Linked DNA regions of Arabidopsis thaliana. The protein of the gene in region 3 purifies or fractionates together with the protein of the main gene of each other region. This does not show direct contact. Each region holds a gene or a part of one and is shown on either strand. Other genes may lie near its edges.

Region 1 (6,316 bases), on a different chromosome or scaffold from region 3:
CATAGTGGGTGAACATCCCATTTGCTAATACCGCATCAGCCACATTAGGAAAAGTTACCAAATTTATCTCCAGAACCTGTGTTGAAAAATGATTTAAACAGTCTGGGGAAAGAAGGTGAGTAGAGAAAAAAACGGAGAGATACAAGGTGGCAACTATTTTCAACCTTAGTTTGCAGAAAAGCATGCTCAGGTAAATTTGGCTTTAGCACATCCAGAAGGAAAGAAGTCGCTTCACGGATCAGATTTCTCTGAATATGCACAAATAGACAAATAAGCACATGATAATTTACATCTACTGTATACAATTCTGTATATAGGAGTAGAACAAGTAATGAGCTACAAATATTGGTGCATACAGAATATATTGACCTACCTGAAGAAAAAGATCAGTGATGGTGTTGTAGTCAACTGGAGAACCTCCTTCCATTTGAGACATCATTAATGCAAAATTTACTGCTCCCTGCAAATAAAAATTAAAAGACTATTGATATTAATACGGTGGGAAAAAGATTCTTCATTCTATATAACATCAGGTCAAATTATTCAACAAGTTAGTTGATTCATAACTCTTCCAGTGCTTACGCCACATATATTCAGTAAAGTCCTTTCATAGTTTAGTATGTTGCAAGTATCAAGAGTGCACCACACTAACCTGAGGATCTGTACGGAGTATGGTTTGCAGAAGAAACAGGTAATCAGGTGTGTACCCAACCTGAAGTCACAATATGAAACAATGGTAATTCATGAGACAACAGAACTTTAGGGTAAAAATAATAGAAGAGGTTATACTATAGATCTTATTGCTTACCTGCTTTGAGTAAATCAGTATTTTGTCAAACTCCCTTCTTTCTGCAAAAGCTGCTACAACTTTTGGAGTCGCCCGAGCTTTGATGTATATTTTCAGAGCGAGATCATTATCCACAGTCTGGAACAGAAAGGTTTATCGTCACAACACACCATAGGAGACATATCACACATTTTGAATAAAATCGTCCATTTCAAGATTACCTTCACAAGGTCTCCAAGTTCTTCACTGCATTCTAGTTTATCCTCTGCCAACCAGTTTTCCAGGAGGTTCTTCTTGTTTTGGTTCACAACCAGCCGAGATAGTTCCAGTGACTCATATGAATTGAGTTTCCCTCTAGTCAAAAGAGTCCCAAAATACTGTAACAATGGAGGAGTTTGTCCAGCTTGTACAGGAACACTCTGCAAAATTATAGAGTTGAAAAATTGGTGTTACCAACATTTCATCATAAATAAACATGTTTACACATAGTTGCTTGGATATGAAATAGACACCTGGAATTTGGCCACTGTATCAGGTGTCCTTAGAATTCCTTGAGGAGATTCAGCAGCAAGCTCAGCAGCCTCCTTGTACTTTGTTTGAGCGAACAACTCCTGGAACCGCTGGACAACCTACAACATCCGAGCAGAATATGAGAAACTTCACAATACCAAATGACATTTTTTTTCTTCAAGCTGCCATTTAACAACTATATAATTACTTCACCGAGACAACAGATCCATGATAAACATCGCATACCAGATTTTCTGCACCTGGGAGGTTTCCTCTTTTAGCAAGATTGACAGCAAGCTCCAAATTGTTCAACTGTGATACAAAAGCATAGATTTCTTAGCATGACATGATGAAAAGGGTAGGTTATAACGGGAAAATAGCATAAAAGATTAGCATACTTGGCCACTAATAAAAGGTATAATGGTAGCCTCGTTTACTGTAGCCAAAAGAACTTGTCCTCGCCTATTAATGGCATAGAAACCCCCAACTGAGGAAGCTTCAGAAGTCAAGAAAATTGGGTCTGGACTAATCCGATTTCTGTAGATAGCAGAAGCAGTCTCTAGATCGTACACAAACAACAGGCCAAGTTTGGTGATAACATATATCAAGTTAAATTTGTGAGAGACCTGTCAGGAAAATGAGAAATTAGTGCCAGAAATTGTCACTAACTACTTACACATATAACTGAAATTCTAATGCAATAGCAAACCTGCATGGCAACAGGAAAATCATCAGCAAAATCAGGGGGAAAAAAGAGATCTGCTTGTTTTTTTGTAAATGATGGTTTTCCTGCAAAAAAATCGCCAACCTTTAAAGATCAGATGAATACAACCTAGAAAACGTAACCAATTATATTAAATAACAGTGAAGATATAGTTTTGCGTCGGGGAGCTAACCAGGTTGGGCACCAAGCTCAATGACATGCAACTTTGATGTTATCTGCCCAGCATTAAAGCTCTTGCTTGCAAATGATATAAGAATAGAAGGATTCTCATTCCCAGGAACCTAATATTAATAGTGTTGCAAGTCAAACTACAGTTCAAGATTAGACCATAGATGAACTCACCAAAGAACAAAGACGTTACCTTAAACTGCGCAAACGATGCAGCATGTGCCTCAAGGGCCTGACTCCGCTGTTGATCCACAGAGAAAAGCTGCATATTTCCTTTTACCAATTGTTGTCTCTACAGAAAACAGATAATAATGACAAGATCAGTCAAGAATCTACAACATGAAAGCAGTTTTGATGTCTTTTTTTGACCTAATATGTGGCGCAGTAAACTTACCTCAGGAGAGCCAGGAGCAATTCCAATTAAAACCAACCACTTCTCATTAGGAGAGCACTTATAGTTTATAATTTGATTGTTGGCCAAATTGGCTGTTCTATCAAACATCTTAACTGGCTCAGAATCACCTATAAAACCCGAAGGAAAATTAGAAACGAAAACACAAGATATGAAGAAAATGACAGTAGGCTGAAATATACAACCTTCAATTGACCAATGATAGACGGAATTCTGTGTGACCAGCCCCAACATCTTTGGTGTAATCCACTTCCAAAAGACAACCTGTAAAAACATGAAACATTATTATCCAAAAAAAAACCCGACTGAAAAATTCAGAGTTATACGAAGTGTATAGCAGGAACGATAATGGAGTTCAAATATATTTGCATCAACACTCACCTGCTCAGGCATCTGATGTGATTTCAACTTTGCTTTGGCTTCAATGTTAAATATCTGTAGATGATCCTGAGTAGTTCCTGGAACTTGAGCTACATAAATATTGAAGTAAAAAGTGAACATCAAGATAAGTGGATTATGAACTACGAATTCGAGGAAACCGTTATGGGTTTTAGATCAAAGGAAAAAATCAAGTACCTTTCAAGGCAAGGATCTTCGAGTTTGGGTTCATAAGAGCAGAGTCTGCAGTAATAGGCCTCCTAAGAGGCTGCATCGGCATATTCATATCTATAATTACAACACTGTTTTGCGGTGACGTCTCTCGTACACAGATATACTTGTCAGACTCCATAGTAACATTTGTAAACGTGATGAATTGCTGATTGATCCCGATGCTCGGAAGCTGGAAAAATCAAGATGAAGCGTTACGTCAAATAGTTCATTTATTTAGTTATGAGATCCGAGTACATAAGCACATTGCTACAGACAACAACTTGAAATTCGGCATTGATATATTAACGAAACACAGATCTGAGCATAGTTAGAGAAATCTGATCAGAAACATGCATTCCCAAACAAGCGATCCGGAAAAACTAGAGAGTAACACAACGATCGAGCAGAATTCAGATCAGTAGGAAACTGGAATCAATCAATCAAGAGACTGAACAGAGCTTAATCGTAGAAAATCACGGTCGATTCCAGGAGATACACATCTAAATATTCAAAGATAAGAGTGAAGAGTAAGGAGAACTCACCGTCAGGACCTCCTTCATCGTGATGGGGGCGTTGGCAGCCGCCATGTTTGACCTCAGATCACAGCAAGAGTAAATCCGGGGACGGAATCAAATATACGGCTGAGAAGTCCTGACCGCCAATGGCCAGGAGATAGAACCGAGACGAGAGAAAGACTGGAGAAGAAATGAAATCGCTGCCAGATCTGAAGCAAGTGAACGAGAAAGGTGATGGAAAGAGAAAGAAAATTGAGAAAAGAAGAATAACAAATATATATGGGTAAGTAATGACGAACAGCGATCCAATTAGAGTCTTACATTTATAACCAGGTCCGGCCCATATCGGTCCTTACTGGGCTCTAAGCATCCGAATTTCTAATGAGACGACACGTGAAATATTTTAATTGGTGCTTTTAAATGAAGGTACCTTAGGTGAAACAACAATAAATGACTTAATAATTAAGATTTGATCCAAGAAAAAAACTTAATAATTAAGAATGGAAGAAGTGTCATGACTTTTAATAATTTTTTTTAAAAAACTTAATAATTAAAGATTTGATACAAGAAAAAAAAAACTTAATAATTAAGAATGGAAGAAGTGTCATGACTTAATAATTAGAAACAAAACTTAATTAATCTGATCCAAAAGAAGAAGGAATATTATGTCATAGAGTATCACTGATGATTGCAGGTTGCAATTGTATGTTGCATCAAGTCATCCGTCTTGGTTCCATTCAGTTTTCTGTGATGAAAGAGTCATTTCCCCTGGTTGAATTGGTTTTTTTTTTGTTATATGGCTCTGTTGTTTTGTATAGGTTATTGTTGTTATTAGCTTATAGTGGCTTAGTGTGTGGAGATTTGTTTCTCCCTGTGTAATTGCTTCTGTTCTTTGTGTTGGTACATGTTTCCAATCTATCAATTCAAATCCAGTTGAGAAAGATTAAGAAAAAAAATGGAAGAAAATCTCCCAATTTTTATACATAATAAAATGAGATGAATTGATAATCAATTAGATTTAGTTAGTAAAGTTTAATTTTACCGATGAGATCTCAGACGACCAAAACACGAAAATAAAATAAAAAGAAAGATCTCAGAATCGCGTCTTTCTTCTTCTTCTTCGTCTTCTTCCTCCGAAACTTTTTTTTGTTTTTCAAAGTGGTGGAGCTAACCATGAAATCGACTCACCATCACAGAGCTCCACTAATATCTGCTTCTTCCTCATCTTCATCTTCTTCCCAAAACCATTCATTCGTCTCTAGGCTCCTCCTTCTCCTTACTCTACTTCCAGTTTCCCTTGCTTGTCTCGCCTTTATCCTCCAATGGCGAGGCGGTGGTCTCGCCGATCCTGCCTCTGCTTCTGTTCGTTCCTCTACGTCGGTTCCTGGCGGCTCCGATCTCAATCACGAGGTCTTTCCCGGCATGGAGACTGTTTCATCTGTCTCCCCAAAGTCTCACCAATCCTCCTCCGACTGCTCAAATCTAGCTCGCAGCTCTTCTCCTTCTTTTCCTTACTATGCTGATTGGAAGTTTGGTGTTGATACTAGCTTAAAGCCTAAGGTTACTACTTTCAATTCCCCTGATTTCAAGTCTTTGGATCGATCTACACTTCCAAATTCCTTTTTTTTTTCTTAAATCTTACTACAATGTCTAATCTGAAATATCAAGTTGTTCTTTTTTTATTGGATTATAGAGATTTGAGAAATACCAAAGTTCATTTTTTGATCAGATCTGTCTTTGTAAAGTCACCTCACTTTTTGTGCTCCATGTTGTATATGATTCTTGACATTGTTACTGTTTACAGATATGTATCACGACTAGCACATCAGCTGGATTGGATCAGATTCTACCATGGATGTTCTACCATAAGGTTCTAGGCGTCTCAACATTCTTCCTTTTCGTTGAAGGGAAAGCTGCTACTCCGAGTATTTCTAAAGTGCTCGAGTCTATTCCTGTGAGTTGAACTACCTCTCTTCGCGTCCACTGTTTATTTTGTTTTGGCTGTATATCTCTAGCTCTTTAGTCCTGTAGGTATAAATTTGTATTTAAGGTATGCAGTTTTCGATAAATGTAGTCCCATGTCTCTTGCAGGGTGTTAAAGTAATATACAGGACGAAAGAGCTTGAGGAGAAGCAAGCGAAGAGGTTAGTTAGTTATCCCATTGCATATTTGCGACAAAGCTATAGCTCTTCAAGGCACTAAACACATGTTTTGTTGTATATTCTGAAATTGTAGCATTGTTTTGTTGTATTTTCTACTACTGATCATTTTACTGTCATTCTTTTTTGTTTTGTTTCATCAGCCGGATTTGGAATGAGACCTGGCTTTCGTCTTTCTTTTATAAGCCCTGCAATTATGAGTTATTTGTCAAACAATCTCTCAACATGGAAATGGCTATTGTCATGGCTAGGGTAAGTATTTCTTTTAGACCTTATTTGGTTCAGTTTTGACTCATGTCTCATGTTACATTCTCATTTTTCTTGTTCTTACTAAATATCAGGATGCGGGCATGGATTGGATACTTCATCTTGACACTGATGAGCTGATATACCCAGCAGGTGCTCGTGAGTACTCACTAAGACGGTTGCTGCTTGATGTTCCTCCAAATG
Region 2 (5,923 bases), on a different chromosome or scaffold from region 3:
TCAAGCCATTGCACGAATGCCCATGGTCTATTCAAGACAACATACCCCTAAATACAAGATTACAAGATTACAAAAAAGAGTGAATCAGTGATAAACCATCAACAAAAAGTGAGACCAAATGGAGAAACGGGAATAAAATAAAAATTCTTACCCGATCAAGACCTGGAGGAAGAGGATCAACCACAAATGTGGGTATTTCATCCATCAAGTTATCAGAATTACCGGAATGCAAAATACGGGTGAAGCCACCCATATCAGAACCAGGAAGAGCTTTCTTCTGCTTATACCAATAATACATAATACGACACTGCCACTTATTATAAGGTGCATCTGTAGCTGTTAAGGCAACATGAAAAGGTGCTGGAGAACTCTTGGCTTTCCTAATATTTAGAGGCATCTGAACAACAGGATCCAGAAGTGGACTTCCATCTGAATTACTCACACCAGATCTATTGTGAACTATAAGTGTCAGAAGATTATATGTGACAACAAAGAACCCAAAACCCAAGAGAAACAGAAGCAAGCCTGATGCTTTTCCCATTTGTTTATTCTCAAATCAAGCTAAATTACAAAGCAAAGAACTTAATGGTGATTCCACTACTGCCTTCAAGCTTTAGCAGCATAAATACATGGCAGTGGATCCTTGGAGCTCAAAAATTCATACCTGTAAACAAAAATGATGCAAGTTGACAAATTGAGAACACAGCCATCAAAAAGGTCTCGACTTAGTGAGAATTCAACGATTAAAATCGGGTAAAGCTCCAGAGATGCATAATTTTGGGCACAATGAATAGATCAATTAGAGTGTGGAATTCCAGAAAAGTAAAAGATCTGAAGGAAGAAGCAGAAACGTACAATAATCAGAAGCGAATCTCGGAGTGTGGCGTAAGAATTTGAAGCTTACAGATTCGTAGAGAGAGTCCTAAGAGGGAGAAGCAAGGGAAGTGTCGCCGGAGAAGAATAAGAAAGAGATCGGAGGAGTAATTAATACGAAGCGGAGTTGACTAACGGTGCGTCATTAACGAATTAATTATTAATAACAGTCGTCGAAAATGATTTGACAAAATGTGTGTCTTTGGATCGTGCCAATCAAAACCAAAGAATTCTCCTGATGGCTTTGAATATAATTTCAGGAAAAAAATATAGGAAGTGCAAGTGTTGTGGCATACCACGTTTAAGAAAAAAACATGGAATATTAAAGAAGAAAAACCTAATACGTGAATCGAAGTTAGCACACATAATTAACATGCTTTAGAAATTAGTATGGGCAATAATACTGCTTTTTTTTTTGGTAAGTTGGGTAATAATACAACTTGAGATTTGGTTTGCGACGTTCAATCTGATTTGATTATATGAACTATCTATTTCTATATGTCTTCATATTATTTCGTGTGTTTTGGTGGAAACGTGCCACTCGCCAGGATCTGATCGTAGCTGTCATTTTTACGTTAAAGAGATATTTGTCTTGGTTCATTGAACTCTTCTTGACGGTGGTACCTTTCCACGCCTTACATTTCCATCAATACGCGTTAGTAAAATCTTCAATAACATAGTGACGTTTCCTTCCGCAACAACGGTAGCAACAAAATAAAAAGGGACATCCTCACCATATAAAACATAGCCTGGTTCGAAGGAGTCAAATCTCCCTCCCATACAAAATTTATTCCATATAACAAAAACCTTATCGTCGAACAGATAATATTTCCCCTTGCTCCTCTCTAATTTTATGGGGAAATGATTTCATCAACATCTTTTTTATAAAAGAAATCTGAAACTGCAAAAAAAATGGAGAAAAAAACAAAAGCCGAAGCTTAATGACTGCGGGATTTGGTGGTACTTAGGCACCTCCAGATCCATACTTCTTGCCGAAGACGATTAACTGCAGCTTGTCGTAGCCAGCAAGCACACCAGCACCTGCAACGGCACGCAGGATGTTGGCACCCGCACCCTTGAACAGAGACTTGGCTCCTTCCTTCTTCACGATCTGTGAGAACGCATCAAATGAGCTCTTGTACTTCACCGCTTCACCTGATGTCATCATCATTCTTCTTCTAACCGTGTCAATCGGGTACGACGCAAGACCCGCACCATTGGTGATGAGCCATCCAAGAGCAAAACTAGCGAAGAAACTGTCCTGAAATATCCAGCAAGGAAAGAAATAACAACATTAGAATCAGGATCCCTGATTTCTTAAGCTGTCACCTTACAGATATATAAGAATAGAGCTCAAACAAACCTGCAGGTCTCCAGTGAGGAGGACAGGCTTCACAGAGTCGTACAGTCCAAAGTAGAGACCACGGTAGACAATGATACCAGCACACGAGATGTTGAAACCACGGTAAAGTCCAGCAATACCATCTGACTTGAGGGTCTTCTTGTAGACATCAACAAGACCATTGAACTGCCTTTCACCTCCTCCCTTCTTGGCAGACTTGGAGTCATTGGCAAGACGGGTACGTGCATAGTCAAGAGAGTACACAAAGAGAAGGGAAGAGGCACCAGCAGCACCTCCAGATGCCAAGTTACCAGCAAACCACTTCCAGTAGCCATCCTTGTCTTTCTTGAAGTTGAAAAGCCTCTTGAAGTAATCTTTGAATGCAAAGTTCAAGGCCTAGCAAGTGAGAGATAGATCAGTAACCAATACATCATATATAACTAAGACATTTTAAAAAAGCAAAGAAGTGAAACTAAACCAACCTGAGTGGGGAAGTAACGGATAACATTAGCGGTGTTTCCTCTCCACAACGAACCAATACCTTCATCCCTAATTGTCCTGCCGAAACAGTCACGAATACCCTTGTATGGCTCAGTAAGCCTTCCAGCCTTAAGCATCTCATCCTGGTTTTGAATCAAAAGCTTGACACGCTCAATGGGAGCAGCAGCAGTCTTTGACACAGCAGCAGAAACACCACCCATCATGAAATCAATAGCAAAGTTAGTAAATCCCTTCTCTCCTGGAGCTTGGACAAACACAGGAGAAGTAGTAGTTGCAATCTGAGATGCAGCCACAAGAGGATATTGAAATGCAGCATTGGAGTAGTTTCCGTAAGCTGCATGTTTCTGGTATGTAGCAGGCCTTTTGGAAGCCGAAGCATAACCACGAATGTCCTGAGAAACACTCGAGCTCAAGAGTTGGCCAGAAACCTTCTGAAGAATCGTGGGGTGCTGAGTCTGTTCAACCATTTTAACCTCTACAAAATTAAACAACCCGTAGTGTAAGAAATGGAATATGCTATAAAGTGCAGTAAAAGCAATTGTGCATCTCCAGTGGAATAGAACACTTATCCACCATTAAGCATAAGAGAGGCTACATGTAGAAACGATGCAATCAGAAACTAAACCATGAACACATTCAGACGCAGAAAATTTAGGTTAAACAGATCCATACAACAGTGTAACTTAATGGCGGAAAATAAGAGTAACAGAGCCGAATAATCCAGGATCTCGATACATTCACACTCCACACGAGATCTACACTACATTCAATCTAGGATTACGCAGAGAAACCATGAGATCATCAAGACGAAACGAATCATTTTACCTTGTTGATGATATATAAGACTGTGAAGCAGATCAATAGAATCAAATGAAGAACAGAGATAAACAACGAGATTTAAAGCGATAGAGATCTCAGAGTAACCAGAATTACCTAAGAAAATCGATGGCAATGCGAAATTGAGGGAGCGAGATTCTTCGCCCTTCGTTGTCGGAGCTGAGCGAAGAAGAAGAAATGAGAGAATTCTCTTTGTGGGGAAGAGGCGAGTTTTGACACGAGCCTTTTATTGGCTCCAGAAATAGGGTCACACTAGAAAGAATCAAGTGTAACGCACTATTCTATACACTCGGGGACTGTAGGACCGTTAGATCATCGAGATTGAAATTGTGAGCCGTTGATTGTAATTGCTAAAATGAATAATATAATTATGGAAGTATACGACTGCGTTATCGGCCGTAGATCATGCCACCTATTTGGCGCCGGAAATCTGGAATGTTATTGGCCATTGACGGGTTTTTGTAGTCAACTGTCTACAGGGTAACGTTTCAAATATTTCTTAGTTTATATTTTGTTTTGGTCAAAGTGCTTTAATCTTTAATATTTGTTTTGACCAACAGTATATTTACAAAAAAAAATGGTGTTTTGGAAAAAAAAAAAAAAAAGAACAAAAACACAATATCAGTCCACCAGTGTTACGTTCCTCGCCTCCTCCTCCGTCGGCTAGTTGTACAAAATTTTAGTGGATCGCTATAATGGTCATCTTCAGGGTGTCATATGTTTTGAGTCAGAATTTCGAATGTCGAAGTGATTCAGTAATGGTTGGGAAGGCTTGTGATGCTGCCTCATCCCAGTCCAAATGTATTTGCCTTGACTCTTGAAGAGCTCTAAATCCCACGTCTTCTATCTAGCTCTAAAGTATGCTATGTCACTTTGGTTGTGCTTCACCTTCTTTGTTTTCAGCTCATGTTTGTTCATCTTCACATAAAGGCATGTTGAAAATGGAAAGGTGCAAGATCAGTCAATATGTTCATCTTCACATAAAGGCATGTTTAAGGCAAGGTGATTGTATCTCTCCTTATCTCTTTATTTTGGTAATGGAGGTGTTATCCAGAATGTTGGACAGTGGGCTGTTGGAGGGCAAGTTTTCTGCTCATCCTTTGTGTATCACTCCTCGCCTAACTCATCTAGCTTTCGCAGATGATTTATTGGTTTTCTCAGATGGTTCTCAGCACTCTCTCCTTGGTATTAGTGGTATACTGCAAACTTTCCATTCCTTTTCCGGTTTGGACATGAACCCTTCAAAGTCTGAGCTGTTTTTTGGAGGTTATGGGGATTCTGAAGCTGCTGTTATTGCTGACTTGATTGGGATTCGAATAGGTGTTTTTCCCTCTCGGTATCTTGGCTTGCCGCTGAACCCGACTAAGCTTTCTCTTGCCACACTTCAACCTTTTATTCAAAAGATTACCGAGCAGCTTAACTCCTGGACAACCAAGTTTCTCTCTTATGCTGGGAAAATCCGGTTAATAGTATCTGTTGTTTATGGGAAAGTGAACTTCTGGAGTCAAGTCTTTGTTCTACCAAAGGGTTTTTATAAGAAAATTGACAATCTCTGCTCTGCTTTTTTGTGGAAAAATACTACTTCGTCTGCAAGAGGTGCAAGAGTTGCTTGGAAGGACATTTGTAAGACAAAAGAGGAGGGTGGGTTAGGTATTCGATCTCTTGAGGAATTTGCTACTGTTTTCAGGTTGAAACAGGTTTGGCACCTCTTTACTAGAAGGGGCTCATTGTGGGTTATGTGGTTGGACCATAACATCTTCGGAAGAAGGAACTATTGGTTGATGGATAGCACACCACGTCTATCTTGGAACATTAGGAAGATGTTGGAAGTAAAATCTGTGTTCCAGAGATTGATTAAATGTCAGATGCGAGACGGTATGAAAGCCTCTTTCTGGTTTGATTATTGGACAAGCCTTGGTCCCCTTATTGAGCTTTTTGGTCAGTTGGGCCCAAGAGAGCTTCGGATCAGTAGAAATGCTAGCGTTTGGGAAGCTACACATGAAGGTCAATGGCATTTTCCCAATGCGAGATCTCACCAAGCTGAGCAGTTGCAGATTTGCTTGTCCTCGGTTGCCCCGCCTTCTCCTTTAAGAGGTGCTGATTGGTACCAATGGAAGCAGCCCACAGGTACTTTTTCTGAAACATTCTCTTCGAAAGGAACTTGGATGCAAATTAGACAAATTTCTCCTCATGTGGCTTGGCATAAAGCTGTCTGGTTTAAGGAATCTGTCCCAAGGTTTTCATTTATCCTTTGGATGGCTTCCCATGAAAGGTTGACAACGAGAGATAGGCTTTTACAGTGGGGTATGAATGTACATGGTTCTTGTGTTCTGTGTGATTCTGGCCTTGATTCCCATGATCACTTGTTCT
Region 3 (5,116 bases):
TACTAACACTGCATATTCTAGTCATCTTAGGTTGCTGCAATGTCCCTATGTTGTTGGCACCAACCTCAATACCGGTGGGCCGTCTCTGAAACACCAATCTAGAAGACTTTCTCTCGAGATTCACCTTCTTCTCGGACTCATCATCCTTCTTGGCATCAATGGGTATCAACAACGTCAAGGAGGCTTCTTTATTGTCGTTGCTTCGTTCCTCGAATCCTACATTGTTGTCTTTGCTCGAAGAAGCAGATTTTGATTTTTTCTTCTTCTTGGGGGTTTTCTTAGGCTTGCTTCTTCTCTCCTTGACATTGACATTGCTGACAATGCTGTTGCTGTTATCGACGTTATCATTATCAGGCCGTGTTCCTTTGGTGCAATTGCAGCCCATAATTCTCCACGGCTTCGTGATTCCGTCAATGCTCCACAGTTTCCTGACCGGAATCAGGAAACTGTATGTTTTGATTAGCTTCCTAATCTTTCCTTTTTTCTTCTTCTCCACTGAAAATGAAATCTTCCCACCCACACCACCAACAAAGAACAAAGATTTGAGCTTTTGATCTTTAGACCTTGTTGGAACTTGTTGGATTAGACGCTAATCTTAAAATCAAATGGGAGACAAAAAAAAAAGAGAGGAGCTTTTTCTGTAGATGTAACGAAACTGGAAAATTTGAGGTCAGCAAGACTGATCTCGAAATATGGATTAAATATGTGTCTCAATGTTTTTGTATGAAGAAAACGAATTGAAATCAAAGAATCAAAGGAAGACTTGTGGGTTAGAGAGAAAGAGATATGCTGAGATTAATGGAGAGAGAGAGAGAGAGAGAGAGAGAGATTTGGAATTGTGAGTGATTCCTGAAATTACGAAGAGCCTATCAAGAATATGAGAGATTTTAGGGAAATGAGGTTTCATAGTCTTTCTATTTTAGGAAATTTTAATACAGCAAACAGAAATAACGAAAATGCTTCAGAGGAGAAACAATGACGAAGCAGCCTGGTTTCTATCTGTCTCTCGAGCAAGTGTTGAACATAACAGAGATCTCCCATTAATGGACACCCAAGACTTGACTCTTTTCTTCTTCTCTTTTGAGTTCAGTGTTCAAAATTAGGTTCTGTTGCTCAGACGCTACGTGGCATCGTGCTGGAGTTCCATGGGCTCCAAGTCAAACGTATCTTAAAATGAGGCTCATAATTAAATCAATTTCAGACATATTTAAAATTCGTAAGACACCGTTGACAAAAGTGAACAATAGTTGGAAGATCAAAAATACCAATAATAAAAATAAACCATCCTTACAAAATCTGGATTGCAAACTCCTGTTATATAGTAAATCATAATTCTTAGTTTTAAGTCTGCTACAAAACAAATGAAAAAGAGTTCTAAAGCACAAGAAGATAGAACTAATAGCCTCCTTTGAGATCGTTGACGACATCGTAGGGGATTGGAGTGACAGTCTCCAAGGTCATTCCTTCGACCATGAATCCTGGTTTGGGTCCTTTAGGCTGTCTCTTGGTGCTGATGGTCTCACCATTGGCTTTGGCTGCAGCCTTGAGCTCATCGTTTTTCTTCTTCCTCAGCTTGAACTCCTCGGCACATCTTGACTGCTGCACATGCTCCACACGAACATGAATCCTCTTCCTTATGATCCTGTTCCCAATCTGAAACAACCCCACCATCATATGTCAGTCATAATACCCAATATAAGTAGTACTAGCAAAAATGTTTGTGTTCTGGTCATAGGCTAATCAGCATTACACAATAACATCTCTAAGACACTTATAGAAACAAGATTAATATACGAATGTTGGTGGTCATTTAAAGCAAAACTAGAGCAATGCGATAGTCATGAAACCAAACATACTAGCAGTTCAATGGAGAAGTAAAACTAGATGCTTAGCTAGAACTGTGATGCAAAAAGGGCCAAATTGATACAACGCAATGCATGCTAAGGCTAAAGACTAAACGAGACCTAAGCAATCAAACTTCAAATCTGAAACAGGATCAAGAACCACACTACTGCATAATAGAAGATAAGATCTTTGAGCCAAAACTAACAATCTGAGCTAAATTGGAGCACAGTAGAAGGTTTACATTCTACAAACCTAATACTCAATCACATATTTCAACATCAAATCAACAGATCAACAATCCAAATAGCACAACAAGCTCAAATCCTAATTCAAGGACACAAAAGTTTAAGGGAAGTGAGAGATCATCAGACCTGTTTGTTGACTTCAACACCGACGGCGCGCTTGGTGACGTTCCAGATACGACCAGTACGACCATGGTAGAACTTGTGAGGCATACCCTTGTGGATCGCACCATTCACCTTCACATCGACGTAATCGCCGACCTTGAAGGTCCTCAGGTAAGTCGATAGAGGAATGTAACCCTTCTTCCTGAAAGGCCTCGCGAACAGATCCCTCGTTCTCGCTCGAACTCCATGTCCAGCCGGCATTTTTCCTCCGCTTTGGTGGTTGCGAAATGTGATTAGGGTTTATATATATTCTCTTTGAAATTAGGGTTTGCTCTTAACGGGCCTGTTGGGTCAGAAATTTGGGCTGATTTGTATGTAATACCCATTTGATTAGTTTTTTCTTGTAATCTTAACCCTTGTACTGTCAAACTTACGTGTTATAGCCCCAAACTAACATAAAGTATCAGTTACAACCCAATATCAATGGTTCTAGAATCTCTTTCGTTTGGACTTTGGAGATGACAAGAAGTTAATATTATTATTTCAGAATCAGAAATAATGACTTCTTATCAGAGAGAAGCTACATAAACAATCCATGAACAAAAATTTTACAGCGTCAGTAAAAAGGAGGCGTGTAAAGAGGAAAGAAAGGAGATGAATTGAATATTATTCTTTAAGAAGAAACTCTCATTAAAGGACCTGAATATCAGGGAATCTCTATATAAGCTTCTTCTTCTCAAAGTACTGCTTCAAGTAGAGTACCTGGAAACCAGAGACAGCAATGCAAACACCTAGTGACATTATACTGTACCAAGCCACCCGCGAGTTCGTTTTCTCACTCATTGTCCTCATGTCTGCTTCTCTGCAATTACCATTTTGATAATGAGAGTCAGCAAAGAAGGCAAGAGCAGTTCATGCAGCTGAAGATGACTTTACCTGTTTCTTAGGTAGAGTATATTTTCATGGATGGCTTCGACTGCGCCTTCGAGTTTCCTGATCTCCAGCTCCACACCCTTAAGCAATTGTCATAGAGTAACAAATTTTAGAAATATTTTGAAGCAAAATTATAAGCAATACCACTCTCTGAACTGTAAAATCTCTTGAAAGCTAACCTCGATCTTCTCTTTCTTAGCAATAGAGGCCCAATCCTTAGCAGCGATTCCAGTTCTCCAGTCAATGTTGATGCTAACATTTTTGTTTCCGTGACTCTTTTCATCTGCCCAAAAGCACGCCAAGTAGTTCCCTGATTCTTGGGTTGTAAATGCAAATTGGCCATGCGTTACGTTTTCCATATTGTGCAGATTGTTGCCATATGGGGATGTCACCTGCACCATAATGATTCTCAAAACTCAGAGCCAAGAATAAAAAGGAACAGAGGTTACCATTCAGAAACATTGTATTCCTTTTTTCAAGTCGACTTCAAAGACTGCTCTCAATCCAAAGGACACTATCTTAAACAATCCATCAAACTATCTGGAACTAGCACATAGCAATGATTACTAAATACCAAATGATACTTGCTCAATAAAAGAAACTCCCTTGTTCGTAATAATTATCATTGTTCCCAAACATACACATCAAAAACACAGACTTCATTAAAAGACCACATAAAGTTTCAATTTTTCTTATCTCAATCTCACAGCTAATTACTGATATTACGGCAAAAAAAAAAGGGTATTCACAGGGATTAAGCTATACACAAGCATCTGAGCATTTATACAAATCCGAAAATCATCATAACAAACAATCAAAGAAAGACATGCATGATCATAATTTTCCAAATAAGGAAACTTGGATCGAGAATTAATACATGCCTTTCTAATTCCTAAACGTGACTCATGAATCAGTTGAAATTATGGATCGAGTAACACAAAATGCAGATTCAAATCACTGAACAAGCAAGATGATAGGAACAGAAAATCGAAGACACTTACCTTGACGGATATAGTGGGCATGACCTCGTGATCCTCGGAGATGATGAGGTAATCAGCCAAAACGACGACATTGCTCTGGATTTCTTCAGATACACACTTTGTTCCGGTGGGAGGCACATCTAGCCATACAGCCTCACCGACCGGAATCATCACCGGAACCAGAAACAAGAGAAGGAACGCCGTCGGGAATTCACGGCGCATCTTAGCAGTCATCTTCATCGACGAGATTTCAAATTTTCCTATTGTATTCGTCGATCGTTGTGTTGTGGTGGCCAGATCTTTTGCTCCGAAGTGTTTTTTTTTGTTTGTTCATCTTAATTCCTTTTTGTTTGGGAAGCTTTGATTGGGCTTTGATGAGACCAACCCATGGGCTTGATAATTGAGATGAGGTGATAGCATTGGGTCCAATAAAGATCTATATAAATAATTAATCACTTTTCATTTAAACAACACTTTGTATTTGCAACTAGTCGCCCATCATCTCTGAACCTCGCTCTCTAATCTCATTTCCATTTGGTTGTTTTTTGAATACTTTATCTGAATAAACGTGCACTTTGGAGTCATAAAGGCAAGATTTGGCACAGTCTTTGAGACTTTTTTTTTTTTTGGTAGAGTTGTGCAGTTCCTCCTGTTTTAATAAGACAAATTGACAAACTTAAACTATTACATAAGATTGTTTGACAAAAAAAAAAACTATTGCATAAGATTAAAACATCTTTAATAATAGTATGGCCAGGCTAACTAAGTAGTATTAGTTTAGATTAAGTGTTTTTTTAATTGCATCTCTTCTTAGATACAACTCGTCATGTCATTGTTTGGTTATGTTTTAATAATTTCATAAACTTATCCTTTAACGGAAGTGGTAAGCCTATTGCAAAGTCAGCTCAAAAGTCGAGCATTAAAAACATATGAATTCCCAAGTCGTATTTTTACATTAATTATCATCATATTTAGCTGGGGTCCTAAAATGTACTAGTTTTTATTTCCTAT

The links. Proteins that work in one complex are often made in the same cells at the same time.
Region 1: the proteins of AT1G09590 (region 3) and AT3G08530 fractionate together in Arabidopsis thaliana (co-fractionation; one large-scale study listed by BioGRID). This does not show direct contact.
Region 2: the proteins of AT1G09590 (region 3) and AAC2 fractionate together in Arabidopsis thaliana (co-fractionation; one large-scale study listed by BioGRID). This does not show direct contact.

The regions. Positions count from the first base shown.
Region 1 is NC_003074.8:2,591,633-2,597,948, forward strand, and holds the start of AT3G08530 (Clathrin, heavy chain), read right to left. Parts: upstream 4,023-6,316; 5' UTR 3,780-4,022; coding exon 3,735-3,779; intron 3,383-3,734; coding exon 3,178-3,382; intron 3,072-3,177; coding exon 2,983-3,071; intron 2,866-2,982; coding exon 2,787-2,865; intron 2,712-2,786; coding exon 2,584-2,711; intron 2,482-2,583; coding exon 2,383-2,481; intron 2,303-2,382; coding exon 2,194-2,302; intron 2,087-2,193; coding exon 2,007-2,086; intron 1,924-2,006; coding exon 1,696-1,923; intron 1,610-1,695; coding exon 1,544-1,609; intron 1,417-1,543; coding exon 1,300-1,416; intron 1,207-1,299; coding exon 1,009-1,206; intron 926-1,008; coding exon 809-925; intron 713-808; coding exon 653-712; intron 461-652; coding exon 374-460; intron 249-373; coding exon 165-248; intron 77-164; coding exon 1-76. Other genes in the region: KOB1 (elongation defective 1 protein / ELD1 protein), read left to right, coding at 4,881-5,267, 5,512-5,661, 5,799-5,851, 6,010-6,118, 6,208-6,316.
Region 2 is NC_003076.8:4,333,294-4,339,216, reverse strand, and holds AAC2 (ADP/ATP carrier 2), read right to left. Parts: upstream 3,946-5,923; 5' UTR 3,650-3,945; intron 3,623-3,649; exon of another isoform or gene 3,542-3,622; intron 3,192-3,541; 5' UTR 3,184-3,191; coding exon 2,698-3,183; intron 2,612-2,697; coding exon 2,237-2,611; intron 2,135-2,236; coding exon 1,838-2,134; 3' UTR 1,523-1,837; downstream 1-1,522. Other genes in the region: AT5G13500 (Hyp O-arabinosyltransferase-like protein), read right to left, coding at 1-47, 152-541. UniProt on the Arabidopsis thaliana protein: ADP:ATP antiporter that mediates import of ADP into the mitochondrial matrix for ATP synthesis, and export of ATP out to fuel the cell.
Region 3 is NC_003070.9:3,103,886-3,109,001, reverse strand, and holds AT1G09590 (Translation protein SH3-like family protein), read right to left. Parts: upstream 2,636-5,116; 5' UTR 2,454-2,635; coding exon 2,217-2,453; intron 1,654-2,216; coding exon 1,396-1,653; 3' UTR 1,201-1,395; downstream 1-1,200. Other genes in the region: AT1G09600 (Protein kinase superfamily protein), read right to left, coding at 1-385; AT1G09580 (emp24/gp25L/p24 family/GOLD family protein), read right to left, coding at 2,910-3,054, 3,129-3,205, 3,305-3,517, 4,127-4,345.